2 linked regions of the Elephas maximus indicus genome follow. The protein of the gene in region 1 interacts with the protein of each later gene in a biochemical or structural test. Links are inferred from orthologs where the notes say so. Each region holds a gene or a part of one and is shown on either strand. Other genes may lie near its edges.

Evidence for each region.
Region 2: the proteins of RBPJ (region 1) and SPEN form a complex in vitro, tested with the Homo sapiens proteins (2 studies listed by BioGRID and IntAct). The link is inferred for Elephas maximus indicus from reciprocal best matches to the Homo sapiens genes RBPJ and SPEN.

Annotation. Positions count from the first base shown.
Region 1 is NC_064823.1:136,632,535-136,640,761, forward strand, and holds the start of RBPJ (recombining binding protein suppressor of hairless), read right to left. Parts: upstream 3,039-8,227; 5' UTR 2,991-3,038; coding exon 2,932-2,990; intron 2,772-2,931; exon of another isoform or gene 2,720-2,771; coding exon of another isoform or gene 2,700-2,719; intron 1-2,699. UniProt on the Homo sapiens protein: Transcriptional regulator that plays a central role in Notch signaling, a signaling pathway involved in cell-cell communication that regulates a broad spectrum of cell-fate determinations.
Region 2 is NC_064821.1:55,571,526-55,578,986, forward strand, and holds the start of SPEN (msx2-interacting protein), read left to right. Parts: upstream 1-4,451; 5' UTR 4,452-4,760; coding exon 4,761-4,843; intron 4,844-7,461. UniProt on the Homo sapiens protein: May serve as a nuclear matrix platform that organizes and integrates transcriptional responses. In osteoblasts, supports transcription activation: synergizes with RUNX2 to enhance FGFR2-mediated activation of the osteocalcin FGF-responsive element (OCFRE).

The DNA of each region.
Region 1 (8,227 bases):
TAAAAACTCTCAAACAAAATTTTTTTCTAATATCCTACCCATTCAGGGTTAGAAAGATTATTTAACGAGTTACATCTGGCAGGAGTGGCTTTTTACTCAAACCATTTTTTTTTTAATCTTAGCCGCTTAAAAGACAATAATAGACTGATACAGAGCAACAGGTAACTTTGTAACAAACGCAACTGCTTAAATTCAAATGCCTAAAAGCGCACATCTGAATGTTCTGAAAATACTGCAAGTGAACTGCTTATATTTTTCCCCGAAATATATTCCCCGCAGACTTATCTGCAATATGCATGAACAATAAGTTAAAAAATTTAACAATCAATACTCAGAATATAACTTTCCCAACCACTATTCAACCTGTATACTTCTAAATGTGCTATTCCGGATATAATTTAATAAAGGCACTTCTTATTTTGGTCATGAGATAAAGGTCTTACATCAAGAAACAGTATACGATTTAGAAACAGAATACACAAGTCTTAATTGAAAAAACTTTATAAGATGTTTGCGTGATCATTCTCACGTGTAGAAATCAAGGCAAATGCCTTACATTATTACATGATATTTACATTTTGCTTACAGTCAGAGTCAACAGTGTGTGCTCAAGATTTACCTTCAAAAGCCTGATGATGCACTATTTAAGGACAAATAAGGGAAACAAGTAGTAATTCCACTCATGGAACCCAAACCGCAAATTTTCACAAAACCTCATGTGTCAATCATGAAACTATGCTTTTTCCATTAATTAATTCAACTACTAATCCCAATCAAAGTCTTCAGACAAAAAATATGCTTTCTAATGTACCAATCAATATTTGCATATCAGATCTTGTAAATCTCCTATCAATAGCACTTTACGGGGGCTTTAGTTTACAAATGAAATCACTGCCTCAAAATGATTTTATGGTTACCACATCTTCTAAAAGTACTGACCAACTAGTGGGGGAGGAGGAAACTCTTAACCATTATATTCTGTGCAGTAATCCTGGTAAGTCTAACATTTCATAGTCCAAACACCAGAATAACTCAGGCCATTAAAATGCCACCGCCCCCACACACAACTCCATAACAACAACAATTTAGAACAATCTAATAGTATTTAGGAAGTGAATGTAACTGCCTTTAAGGTGACTTTATTTCAGGCTACTCCTTATGTATCTTTTAATCACATCTGATTTGACATAGTCCACAAAGACCGAAGAAGCATTATTCACCAGCTAGAAACTGCACTCTTAAGCGTTTTCCTCATTTCAACCCCAAAGGACAGGAGAGTTGTCACAAATCTACAGAGCAAAAGCAAACAAGTGTAATTTATATCTAATAATCAACAATAACAAAAAAAAAACTAAAATATGTGTATCAAATCAATTCCCAAGCAGAATGCCTCCCTTTTCCTTACAAAGGAGTTATTGGCAAAATAACTAGACTCTAGATCTAGATTCTAAAGAATACTGAAATTCTCCATCTCAACATTCACAAGTTTTAACATCAAAATTCACCTAACTCCTACTCGCACACCAAATGAATATACAATGTGGGTATCCGAAACGAGTCTCAAATAATATGTCTCCCTCTAAACGTACTACAATAGCCTTCGCCCAACCACAGGTAACCAGATGCAAAGCTACAGACAGCTGCCCTTGGCCCAGACCGTCAGAAACCAAGAGGTGGGGGCAACAACCACCAAGAGACCCTATCTTTTTCCAGGGCTACTGTTTCCAAGCAAAACAATCACGGGCCCAGAGGGACAGCGAAGAAAACTGGAGACGCCGTAACCCCAAGAGAAAGGGGTGCGGGGGAGAGGAGGGATGCCGAGAAAGAAACGAAATATCTTCGCGCATCATTCAGATCCACAAAAACAACAAACCGTAGGATTTGCACGTAGAAACACCAGATGGAGTCCCCGGGACTGAGACAGTTGAGGAGACAGACACCATGGGTAGCGGATAAATGACCGAAGGGGGGGGTGCCGAACGAAGAAAAGCAGCCACTGGATGGGGGAGACAAAGCCTATGGGGGTGATCAAGGACCAAACAGAAAGGCTGGAGAAGAAACGAATGAGAAAAACAATGGAAGAAAAATTAAAAGACAAAAATTTGCTACCTGGGCTGTGCCAGGTCACTGGGCTGCCGAGCAGAGGGGGGCAAAACAAAGGGGCACGAGAGGAAGGGCAGCGGAGGAGAGGAGATGGGAGAAGGGATGCGGGGCGCGACGGGTCAGACAAAGCGCCCAAGGCGGTGAAACAAAGAGCTGGGGGTAGAAAATCGCGGGGGGCAGCGAGTAAAGACAAAGCGCCCGGGACCGGAGCACCCGGCGGGCGAGGAGGCGACGGCGGCCGGGAGGAACAAAGCTGCGCGGGGCCGGGAGGCAGGGCCCGCGGGCGGCGCCAGCCGCACGGGCGGCGCGCGGCGGACACAGCGCCCGAGGGCCCCGCGCGCTCGGCAGCACTCACGCCCGCACCCGCCGGCCTCCCAGTCGCCGCCGCCCGCCCTCTCGCGCTGGAGCCCGAGCCACGGCGGCGCAGAGTGGACAGCGCACGGCCACACGCCGCCACCGCGCTCGGCGCACGCGACACCGCCCCCGCTGCCCCCCGACACCGAGCGCACCGCGGCCCCCGAACCCGCCGCCCGCCGCCGGCTGCGAGACGGCCGCAACTTTCCCCGTGCCCAGCGCTCAGATTCCCTCAGACTTACCCTGTCACAACAGGCGCCATCTTCCACAAACTCTCGCCAAAACTCCAACCCTCGCGAGATTCCCCCCGACGCCTTCCCTGGTCCCTCTCCCCCGCCCTTCCCTTTTTCCTCACTCCTCGAGTCCACCCAGCCCCCTCGCTCTTCTTCCCCTCGCAGCCGCCGCGAAGAGCCAGACGCCTCGCGCCGCCTGCCGAGTAGGGGATCCTGCTTGCTGCCGTCCCTGGAAACCTACCCAAGCGATGGAGCATGCGCAGGCGGCTGCCCCGCGGGCGAGCCCTCCGTGTGGTCCATGGGGAGCGCTCCGGTTATCCGGGTTTTGGGACGCACCCTGAGGGACGTACGTGGAGACTGAGGAAAACTGGAGGGGATTACAACTGGGACGGGGAATGGAGGGGTCAGGGGGCGGGGCCAAGGGGAAGGGAGGAGGGGTCCTGGGAAAATCTGCCGCGTTCCACAGGCCTAGATGAAACACCTCCTCAAATGGGTGTTTTCCAAGTAGCTTCCCGCTCACTCTGGGTTCCCAGCCTCTTTCATTCATTCAAACGTTCATTGGACGCCTCCTTTATGCTGGTCTCAGCGTTAGATGCTGGAGCTACTAAAACGCCTGGGCTTAGGGCGAGTGGCATACGAGGAACCTTCTTCATTCATTCGACACCCAGACTAATGGGAGACGAACGTTACAACATGGTCCGACCCTACAGAGCTCTGCACACGGAAAACTTTTGCAGTTGAGCCCTGTCGCCTTAGCTTCTTTCTCCTTGGGTGCGAAATGAGGCCAGGTCAAGGCCTCTGGCAAAGGCATCCACCTCACACGCACACGCCAGAATGTCGAGTAGTTTTCTCCAGAAGTGAAAACTATGATGGAATTGAGAGCCGCCACCACCCAGCCCGGCCAGAGGGCCGGCTCAAAGCTGGCTGCCGTCGGCGTGAGCAGCAGCCGTGAGTGACCCCAGGTCAATAGGGGGCCGACTCTGCACAGAGCACCGGGCCTCCCCGGGGCCTGGCACAGCCAAAGACCCCACCGCTGCCTGACACGTACTTCAAGGGGTTTAAATCCGGACGACTCCCCCTAAGCCAACTTGGCGGGTCTGGGCATTTAATAGAAAGGTGCAGGGCCTGGACCCCGCCCGCCCTCCCTGCCGCCCTCCTACCCCACCCTCGCCCTTTCCTTTCCTAGAGATTCCCAGATCCTGCTCTGCCTCCCGCAGGGAACCCCAAAACCCGGAGAACTGGAATCCTCCGGCCGAAACCTGCTGAAGGCGCTGCAGGATTGGCGCGGCACACGCGAGAGGCAGTGCGCATGTGCCCAATGCAGGCAGTTCAGTCTCACGCTACACCTCCTTCCCACCGCCTTCCACTACTCCGCTCAGACACAACACGGGCCGTGGGAAATTTCCTAAACCTCGCGAGAACGCGCCCTCTGTTGCCTATGCTTGAGCCCCAAATCTCGCGGAGCGCAGGCTGGACAGGTGTTTGTCTTTTGCCGCTCCGGGCGCTGTTCGTGCCGCGCGTGCCCGGGCGGCTGGCGGCGAGCGCAGGTGGGGTGGGAAGGGAGCGGCTCGCCGCGGAGGCGGGGCAGGTGGGCGCGTGGCAGGCCGCGCAGGGCGGAGAGCGGCTGGGTGGGAGGCCCGACGTCTCGCACACACTTGCAGGTTCCTTGACTCTGCATGCAATAAAGGGTGGGGGCATGGGGCCTCTTAGGGAAGAAGAGGAAACAAGGAGTTTAGGAACTGCTCTCGGTGCAGAGGGATAAGAGGTCAGACTACAGGGCAGGAGGAACCCCAGGCCGATCTCCCGGGGAGGTTTCCTGTCTCCTTTCACGAGTCTGGTACTTTCCTACAACGTGTTAGACACTGCGGTCCCCGCCTCCGGAGCTGACGGACAGCCCCCAGTGTCGGATTTGAGTCATACCTCTGAGTCACCTAGCCGGGCCTCCACTTCACTTGCATTAAAACAAGTCTGGATTCTCATCTACCCTGGGGCTTGTGAGTTAGGTAGAAAAAAATAAATACATGTTGCTCTCTGCGCTCTCTCATTGTTGCTTTGTATAGATTCTGCTTCCCATTCAAGGACACGATTTTTCTTTTTTTTTAGATCATCCCCTCCTCAATCTCTTCCTAGCCTTTTGAAATAGTCCCTATATATCAGTTTCTGTTCTTTTTTTTTCTTCCTCCCCACTAATATGACATAATTTTGGTTTTGCTTTCCTTCCCCTTTCCATGTTTTTTGTTGAAAGACTCATTCCATTTTAGGTATCCTTTCGTCAGATCCCTTAGTGACCACTGTTTTAAGTCCGTCCCTTTCTTTTGGATTTTTTATTTTGTTCAGTGAGTTCCTGATTGCGTTTCTCAGTCAGGCTCACTTCAGACTGGCCTTAGTATGGTTTCTGTACCAGCCTAGCCTAGCCTACCATTGTCCAGGAACTGGTGTCTTGCTGGGAACATATTGTTGGCCAGCAAATGTAGAATTGAATTTTGATTCCTGGAGGACAGTGAGCCCTCTAGCAGGAGCTCAAGTTCTGCTGGTTGTATAATGGTGTTATAGGAGAAAACACATAATAAAGTTGAGTAAAGTAAAAAGAAAGTTTTATTTGGCATATATTCAAAAAGGCAAAAGTGGGAAGTGGACAAGCATGCTGCCGGAGCTACTGTCTGCCCCAAACCAAGGAAATATAGAACAGACAAAGGTGGGAAAAGGGACAAGCATACTACCACAGCCATGTCTGCCCAAGTCCAAAGAACATTACAGAGTCGTTAGTATATATTAACACTATAAATGGACAAAACCATTGAAAGCTTCACCTTTTTACAGATTGGCTAGAAACTATGATCCGACATTTTGAATTGTCCCTCTCAACAATCATTGGTACAGGTTTCAGTAAAGACGGTAAGGAAGGTCTTCACTGGTCCAACAAATTTTCTCTTCACTAAATGCTAATAGAAAAAGATAAGAGTGGAACGTCTTTTGTGTTCTGGCTTAAGTGAAAGATTCCCTAGAAGATCTTTTCCAAGATTATCTGTTGTCTTTATACCTCAGGGTTCAGTTGATGTGTCCTTGTGAGTCCTTGTGGGCCCAGCTGCAGCTGGGTCACATTCTCTATGCTCAAGGATAGGGAATAATGACTCCAATATTATTTCCTAGATCAATGGGCAGGAAATTAAATTTTTGTTTGTGCTGTTTTCATGGTTGTTAGGGGTGTGTGTGTGTGTGTGTGTGTTGTACTTGCCTGTATCTTTTGATTACATAGGGTCTCTATGAGTCAGAATTGACAGCAATGGGTTTTTGTTATTATATATTTAACACAGAAGAAGAAAAAATACAAAAGAATTTAATATAATATCTCAAAGTAAGTCTGATTTGAAAGAGAATAGCTCAGGAGGAGGACAATGACCTTTGGGCACATATTCCTTGGAGCCTTCCTTTCATGAAGCCATTTCCATTTTGGTCTAGTCCAGGCCACTGATCTGTTTTGGAACCATGGCCATCTGAGAGCTTCAGCATCCTTGGAAAATAATGGTAACCGTAAGTCTAATCACAATTCCTTAGGGTAAAGTCTAATCAGAACTTCAACCTAAAACTCTGCTCTAAAACATGGTCAGTCTATAGTCTTCGCCCATCTCAGTAAATGCCAACTCCATCCTTCCACATACTTAAGCCAAGAAGCTTGGTATGTTCTTGTGTTTTTTTTTTTTTTTTTTTTCATACACCTAACCTCCAGTCTCACAGAAAATCATGCTGGTTCCATGTTCAAAATATAGGCACAACCCAAGCACTTTCCCACCTCCATGGCTACCAGCCTGGTCCAAGCCATCTCATTCTCACCTGAATTCAGGAAGTCTCCAAACTGCTCCCCTTTCTTCCATTCTTGCCTCCCCATAGCCTCTTCTCACAGAGTACTCAGAGTGGCCCTGTGCTCAGAAGGTTCCAATGCTTTCCTCATTTCACTAAGAGGTACTTCAAGATCTGGCCTGCTACCAAAAGCCCCTGACCTCTGACCTCACCTTCTCCTCTTCTCCCCCTTGCTCACTGAACTGTGACCCTGTGGCTTTCTTGCTGTTCTTGGGACACAGGAACACACTCTCAACTCTAGGCCTTTGCTCTTTCCAAAATGTTTGTCCCTCAGACACCTTATGGCTTATTCCCTCACTGCCTTTACTGCAAATGTCACCTTGTCTCAGTGAGACCTTCCCTGACCACCCTTCAAAAAAGTGACTCCCTGTACTCCACATCTTACCTATTCCATTATTTTTCGCATGGAATTTATAAACTAACACACCATATATCCTACTTGTGTATTGTGTTTACTGTCTTCTGCTATTGTGTAATCTTACTGAGGGCAGGGATTTTTATCTCTTTTGTTCAGTGTTCAAGCCTTGGCCACAAGAGCAATGCTAGGCATCATAGTAGGTACTCGGTATTTGTGGAATGAATTGGGTGTCTTCCCCTTTAGGGCAAAGTAGAAATGATTCCGAAGACTCACTAAGCCTTCTAACATTCAAGACAATATTGGGTATGACCACTGATAAGTGCCCCAGTACCAGCCTGCCTGAGGAGGGGGAAGAAGTCTACAGTACCACCTGTGTTAACTTGATGCAAAAATGAAAGTTCTTATCTACAGATTAGACCTGTAGAACAGTAGATGAGGCCACATTTACTTTAAGGGTTTCCTTTACTCTCCATCTTAGCACCTCAGGAAAGAAAACACTGTTGGCAGGATATATAAAAACAAGCATTCTTATAGGTTGCTAGCGAAGTGAAAATTGGTATAACGTTTATCGAAAGCATTTTGGCGAAATATATCACTACCTTCTAATCCTACAATTCTGTTTCTAGAAATTTATCCTACAAATACGCTCACATATGCAGCATCAAATGTGGTAGAAAATATTAGTAACCTTCTAAATGTCCATAAGGAGATGCCTTTTTTTTTTTTTTAATCATGATATATTCATAGAGTGGAATAGTATGTATCTATTAATAAGCAGAGGTTTTTTTAAGTGTATTTATGTGGAAGGCTCTCAAAGGTATACTAAATTTAAAAAGCAAGGTGCAAAACAGTGATAGATAAATGTACAGTTACTTGCTGTGTGTGTCTAAAATGGCTCTGGAAGGACTGACTAAGAACTGTAGTAGTGACTGTATTCCTATAAAGGACTCAGTGGCTGGAGGACAGAGATGAAGAGGTGTCTGTCTGCTGTCTTGGATCTTTTGAACTTTGTACCATGTGTGGGTATTGCCTATTTAGAATATAAATCATTAAAAAAAGGAGTGCGAGAAGAAAAAAAAAAAAAAAGAGACCAAATTGTTTCTTTTCTTCCACTTCCTAATAGAATTATTTTCTAATGAAAGGTAAGTAGATGGTCCACCATCTCAGTAAAATTAAGAACCACAGACCTGCTATCTTAGCACCATACCACAGTCTTTTGTTAACACTGCACTCATTGTCCATTCAAACAGCACGTTTTGAGTACCTGCCATAACGTGTCAGACATCATCTTTAGTGGTTTACAAAGTTGAGTAATGCAAAG
Region 2 (7,461 bases), on another chromosome or scaffold:
AAAATCAAACACTTGATTTGGGGCTGTGCAAAGGGCATGTTATTTATCAGCTTTGTTGTTGTAAGCGCTTTTGCAATAGAAAAGGTCAGGGGAAAAAAAAAAAGCAAGGACTTGCATACTTGACATGTAATCACTGAGTACTGATTTGACTACAGAACCTGGCTGTAATAATGAAAATATTATGCATTTGATAATGTGTTTTTACTTCCACTGATGCTTACTTTTGCTATTATTGTGAAATTAACTGTCAACTTAATGGTAGTCATAATCATATGATATGTTAATTTCAAACACATGTAACATCTGATACTTTTAGCAAACTTATTAGGTAGAGAAAACAGGTATTTTTATCCTCATTTTGCAGATAAGGAAACTTTGAGGATTTGTCTTGCTTATTCAAAAAAAAAAAAAAAAGCAAAACCTGTTGTCTGGTTGATTTCTTCTCATAGCAACCCTATAGGACAGGGCAGACTGCCCCATACGGTTTCCAAGGAGCAGCTGATGGTGGATTTGAACTGTGGTTAGCAGCCAAGTTCTTAACCACTATACCACCAGGGCTCCAAAACAAAACCCACTGCTGTTGAGCCAATTCCAATTTGTAGCGACCCTATAGGATATAGGCCACATAGCCAGTGACAAAATTGCAACTGGAATTTTTGACTCTTAACCTCACCGTTCCTTCCATTACGCTATGATATCTCTTATTACACTGTTAGTGGTTTTCAGAATCTCCTGAACTTTAAGGTGTTTGTTGTCATGAAAGAATCTTTTATAGAAATGGATAGAATTCCCAGTGGAATTGCTTATTTTAACCTGGTGTATGTAGCTATTTTCCCTTCAAATAAATTTGCAGAAGTGAAATTACAGTAACATTTTTGGTGTCAGAGGATCACATTAAAATTTGAATACAAAGTATTTGTTTTACTCATTGAATAATCTGCATGTCTATTTAGGCTGATACCTGTTGGGATTTTATAAACTGAGAATTCTCTTTTGAGAAGTATATGTCAGATTAAAAAAAAAACAACACTATAATGGATATTTCTGTCATTATTTTTGGCACCCGTATTTCTGAAAAATGTATCTTGATTAAACTAACACTTCAAGTCAGAAGTAAGGCCTGACCTGCTTCTGAAAGGTCACAGCCTTGAAAACCTTATGGACCAGTTCTGCTCTGCAGATGTGGGGTCCCCATGAATCGGAATCCCCTCTGTGGCAACTAACGACGACACTTCAAGAGAATTTGAGTATGAGGTTCTACAAATGATGTTTAATGGGAGAAACTACTTGCCTTTAAATTGCTAAACAGACAGTTTATACTTTTTTTTTTTTTTGATAGACCTCTGGTAAAATGAAAAATGGTATCTTAATTTGCTTCAGGTCTTCTTGACATTCTGTGATCTCTAAGGGTTCCTGGAAAGCTTTAGCGCAACTTTGCTTAACAATTTTTTAGTAATGGTATACCACAATTTCCCTTCCACTCCCTCTGCTCTTCTCTAAAAGGTTGGGGGGCTTCAAAGTGTATGTAAAGAACGTTGCCCATTTCAAATTACCTTATCAAAATTAAGTATCTACTCTGCTTTTTACCTGGGGAAACAGCACTGCTGTAGCAAGACCCTTAGCCTAATCTAGGAGAACTACATTTGTTTTTGTATTTATTTGGTAAACATGTTACTTTTTACTTAAATTTAACTCTCCCTAATTCTTATGCTCTGGAGAAAGTATTATAAATACATATTAATTGCCTCTTATTTTGTTCTAGTTTATCCTTTTATTGCTCTGTGGCAGTCAAAGATGGATACAAAATACCATACTAAGTCATTACTTTAGCCTCTCTTCTAATGATTTTGCTTCTAAAAGACTTTTACATTTTTTTTTTTTTGGGCCCTTGAATTTTTCTTCAGCATGATTTTAACCGAAGGCTGCATCCAAGGTGAGATACGCCCTTTATTTCTGTAGTTGCAAAATACTGTTTTCTCAATCCTCTTCTTTGTCTGTTGCCTCTTTTATATGCAGTTGAGCTGGGCCTCCTCTGGTCTTCAGGGTGACATTTTTGGTCTTTCCTAAAAGTTTTCAGTTAATTCAGAGCCTATCAGGTTTTAGATGAGCAATTTATATCTTATTTTCAAACGTGCCTCAAACCGTAGTGGCTTATATTGAATTTATGCTTCATGGGAAAATGCATGTCAGTTTGAGGCTCACTAACTAAAGCTACATAATCACTGTTATAGTTCATGAGTTTAGGTAATATTGTGCTGATGTTGTACTATTTATGTGACAGCAGTTATGACAGAAATGGCCAAATGTAAATGGCCAATCCTACATCTTAATGTAGCTTGATTTGTTTTTCCTTTTTAACTGAAGAATCAATTCCATATTTTCAAGAATAAAAATTTCCATTTCATTTAGTGACTCTTTGATATGCATGAGGACAAGATCAACCTCTAACCTGGCACTAAATACCTTAACTAAATTATGAATATGTGCCACTATTGTGGTGGCACATATTTTAGATCTTCTCCTTTTGTTCCTGCCCTTATTAAAGTTCCCAAAATAGTCAGGAAAAAAAAAAGTGTTGAAATAGAAAATGAAAACATAAATCAGGAAAATAACATAGAAAATAAACCAGTTGAATTATCTAGCCCAGAATCTGAATGTTTTTAAAAGTAACTAATTAAATTTCCAAAATCAGTTCCATGGAAAAATGTCAACCAAGATGGCAAGGTTTGCTTCTGTACAGGCAGTCCCTGGGTTACGAAAGTGTGACTTATGCCTTACAGACAACTCGTACTTCGGAATGGACTGTCATACAGCCTATTATATTAAAAATTTGAGTTAAATACATACAAAGGTTTGTAATAAGGAATGCATACAATACTTTGCGACACTCATGAAAACATTGCACAGTTTGGAAGTGTTTACGTGTAAAATACAGATCTATATGCTAAGACAAATACTTGGCTGACACTAAATAAGAATTGTACGTACCTGTTCTGACTTATTTACAAATTTGACTTAGGAACAGATCTCATTGGTAACCCGGGACTGCCTATCCTGTAACAGCTGTAACTGTGTAATGTGAGGGCTTACTTAGCCTTCTGAAAGTCCTGAGAAAGGAGAGAAGACAGCTTTCTCAGTTCATCAGATCTAAGATCAAGTTTATTAAGTACAGCATGGACTAGTAAAGAAAATACAGGAAAGGTTGATGTGACTCTGAGGTAGTTCTCTGCTCTGTCTCTGTGACTCAGTCTTTAACAAACTTACGTTAGACTATAAGGCAAACGAAAGGCTCAGGGCTTTAGCTTTTGTGGAACAAAATATAAGATGACTTGGACAGGTGACCTCACCTATTGGTGCTGAATCATCATTGGTTATGGTGACCGTATCTGTCACTTAAAAGTAGTGTAGTTTGATGATCAATTGGCTTCTATTTAAGTGGACAGTGAGTGGCACCATAGAGTGAAGATCTGGCCTGTGCCTGAAGCACTGTTGTTGAGTGCTGTGGAGTCTGCTCCCACGGATCGCCACCCCATGTACAACAGAAGGAAGCACTACCCCTCTGATAAATCTGTGGATTAAATGGGGGAAAACTGAGTTGCTGTTTTAAACAATTCACATTTTCTGGATTCAGTTGAATACAGTTGGCTGAATTTTGTGGGTTTTACCTAGGTTTCTGTAAGCTGTTCAATTTCAGGTTTCAAAAGTCCTCAGACCTGGGAAAGTCAGAGGTCTACGTACTATCTCAGTGAGACATCTGAGAACAATTAGACATCTAACTGTCCCATTTCATTTCCACTCCTGGTATACCCTAACGATCAGCAAGGGTATCTTGCAAAAGGTTTCGCAAGATGCTATGTAAAATAGAGTTGTTTAACGTTACAAGCTAATGATTCCTGGGAGGGGTGGGTTTTTGAAGCCATCACTGCTTGGCTGGGCGGTGGGAAGGACGGCCTGTTCTGACCACTTTCCCAAGCAGGCGGGGATCCAAGTGCCCGGAAACGGCCATGAGCTGCCCGGAGGGTGAGCAGAGGAAGGGGTTTTGGCATCTCCTAGGACGGAGGCCTTCGCTGCCCCTTGGACACGAAGCCTTGTCAAAACCAACTCCATTTCTCTCTTCTCTTCCCCCAGGCCGGCGCCAAGGACCCCCGCGCGGGAGGCTGGAAGCCGTTCCTGCCTCCCCGCGCCGGGGGCCTGACGGCGCGCCCGCCCCGCGCGGCTGCGCACCGGGACCGAGCGCGAGCGTCCCTCCCCCGCCCCGCGTCCCGCCATCCCCCGCCCTGCCCGTGCGCCTGCGCGTCGGCTGCGAGGGACGCGGGGCCTCGGCCTCGGCGGACGGACGCGCGCGCGCCCGCGGCGAGGGGGCGGCGGCCAGGCGACGGGAGGCGGGCCGCGCGCGCGCCGGTGGGAAGCGTCCGGCTGCCACAGCGCCAGCTCCGTCGTAGTCGCTGCCGCCCGGGTCCCGCTCGCCCCTCCTCCCCGCTCCCCCCGCCTGCCGCCGCCCGGGCGCATGCGCTGCCGGAGCGCGAGGGTCGGCTTCGGGTGTGTGGTGGCGGCAGAGCGGCGCTGCGAGGCCCGAGAGTCAGAACCTGGGGGAGAGGGATGGTCTCTGCACGGGGGGGAGCCGGAGGAGCCGCCGCCGCTGCCGACGCCACCGCCGCAGCCGCCGCCGCCGCCGCTGCGCCCGCCTCCCGGCGCTGAAGGGCTCGTACCAAGCCGGCGAGGGAGAAGCAGCAGCGGCGGTCGCCGGCACGCCGCCCAGCATGGTCCGGGAAACCAGGCACCTCTGGGTGGGCAACTTACCGGAGAACGTGCGGGAAGAGAAGATCATCGAGCATTTCAAACGGTGAGTGACACGAGGCCCGGGCCGCGCTCTCTCCCCGGCCGCGGCGCTGGCCCGTTGTTGGCTCTCCCCGTGCTCGGAACTGGGGAGGAGGACCCCGTCCCGGACTCCCGGACGGGTGCGGGGGGCGCGCGGGCTGCCGCGCCGGCCGCTCGGCCAGGTCCCGGCGTTGGGCCTCGGCGGAGCGGGGCCGCGGGGCCCAGCTGCCACCCTCTCCCTTCCGAATAAGGAGACTGTCGCTTGGCCTCCGCGAAGCAGGCGCCCGAGGGTTCCCCTGGCGTTGGCAAGGAAGCGGGTCAGTGCCGCGCTCTGGTGGCGCTCCCCGGCGGGGTCGCGTCCTTGCGCGCCGGCTGCCCCGGCGAGCCGCTCTCAGGTCTTTGGGACGCGCCTCCCGGCGCCCCCGGTCCGAGCAGCCACCCGCATCCGCCCGGCGAAGGCGGCCGAACCGGGAACCGAGCAGCGGCTGACAGGCTGCGGCCGGCCCGGGACCCGGACCTGTCCCAGACCCGCCCCCTGCCCCTCCGGCCCCGGCACCGCAGACTCCCGACTCTCGTAGCAACTCCCGCTCCGCGCACAAGGGCGCATGGAAATGTCTGACTTAGAGTGGGTTTTGTGCGAAAGAAGAGGTACAAAAACAAAAGTCTTGGTAGGTAACGTAGGAACATCTCTGATTTGGGAAGACACTGCTAGATTCTAGGGATCTCTCACACCGAAGAGTTACAGACCTGGGAACGAAATGAAAATGGCAAATTCCTTTTTGTCTTTTTTTTCTTGTTTTTGCGGGATTGGGTGGAGAATGAGGTCTGCAAATAAGTTTGTGCCCCAGTTTTGGCTCTTTCGCCTTTCTTCCTCCAGCCCCCTCGGGTGCCCATCAGGAGGATGGTGGGAACAGAGCCTCAAATAGGAAGGTACCCACCTCAAATAGGCGCTGTGAAGCCCAGAGGAAGCTCCGGGACCTACTACTGCGGCCGTGCTGGCATTATCGTGCATATCCTTCTTAAAAATAATGGTATTTTCCCCCACCCATAATTTATCAAATGGTTTAAAAATGCAAGTGTTTTAAGATTAATGTTTTTTTTTTAATCTACGCGAATTATTTGTCCATGAAATGTAAAAGGTCTTTGATACATCTTTTTTATTTAGTAGCACTTTTTTTTTTGGTTTTTTTTTTTGTAGCACTTAGCACTTGTTTTCTTTGTGAAATGTATGTGTACCACAACTGGTAAGAGGTCTCAAAATAAAATAATTAAAATAGCGATTTATTTAGACTTGGAGCAGATTGAGAAGGACCGTACAAATCTTTATGATCATTCTCAGAAATTAGCTTTTTTCGTATTCATGACCCTGAAAGGTATTAAGTTTGGTGTACTCCTAATTCCTCTTACTATTTAGGTGAGTGAGGGAAATTATGGAGCGTCCTTATTAGTGAGTCACCATGGGAAAAATAGATTGCGTCGCTCGCTGTTGAGCTGCGTGGATAAGGAAATAGGAGCAGCGGCAGCAGAGCCCCTGTTTTTCAAATGGAGGATCATTGATTCTGTTGGTGGTTGCTGTTCCTGGGGTATTAAATTTTCACGTCTGGAGCGCGCGTCTGCGCGTGTCCGCGTGTGAAAAGGAGCCGGGAATAGTGAGACCATTCATAACCTGCTAAAACTGTCCTCAGCAGGGCTGGGGGAGGTGCGCTTCCAGGGACTCTCCCAGTGTTTACTACGTTGTGCCTGAGAGACCAGGCAAAAACTCGCCTTTGCCCGCGATGATAAAGGGGAGTCGTTGAGCTGAATTGGGAAGCAGATGAGAACTTTCTCTTCCTGGCGTTGCTCCACCCCTTTTTCCCTCCTATCCCTCGTCCTCAGTGTTTTGGTGGAAAAATCATTTAGGTGCAGATTTTTGGAGGAGATAAACCGCTTAGATGCGCTGACTTTTATCTCCTTGTGGACTCTATCTGTAGGTTGCTGGATGGAAAATTCGTACGCACCGACGCGCAAACACGTGCATTGCAGCATTCTCTTTGCTCCGTGTTCTGTGGCCAGACGTGTCGTTTTGCATTATGCAGATTCCAGAGACATGGCATGCATTGCATTGCATTGCATCGCTTGTCTAGGGGAGTTTGACCCTTCTGCAAATTGAGGGGGAGAGATAGGAAAGAGGAAATTGCCCAAGGGAGTTTTGGAAGGCTTCTAAGTGGATGGTGCTGCAGTCTGTCTTGTGTGAATGACTTTCTAAAATGGCGGCTAGGACCCACTTTATGTGGGAATCAGCAGAGCAGATCTCAGAATGCACAGAGGGAGGAGGGGACGGAGGATGCGCGCAGGCTGCCTTGGAAAGCGGCAGTCTGGAGGACCAGTACTGTATTACAGAGGGCTTAGCTGGCACATTGCTCACGGCTGCACTGAAAGGAGTGCCTTACCTGTTAACAGAGCAAAGGCAGGTGATTCCTATAAAAGCAGGTTATTTTAAAATGTAGCAGACTGTGTTTCCCTGAAACGTCTTTATTTTAAAGGCGATTCTTCATGTTTAAACATGTATTCTGTTATTTGACTAGAGCGTTAAAAAGTATACAGAGAAAAATCTCCCCACCACCCCTGACCTTTGGTCTCCCGGTACCCATTCCCCCTCCCCAT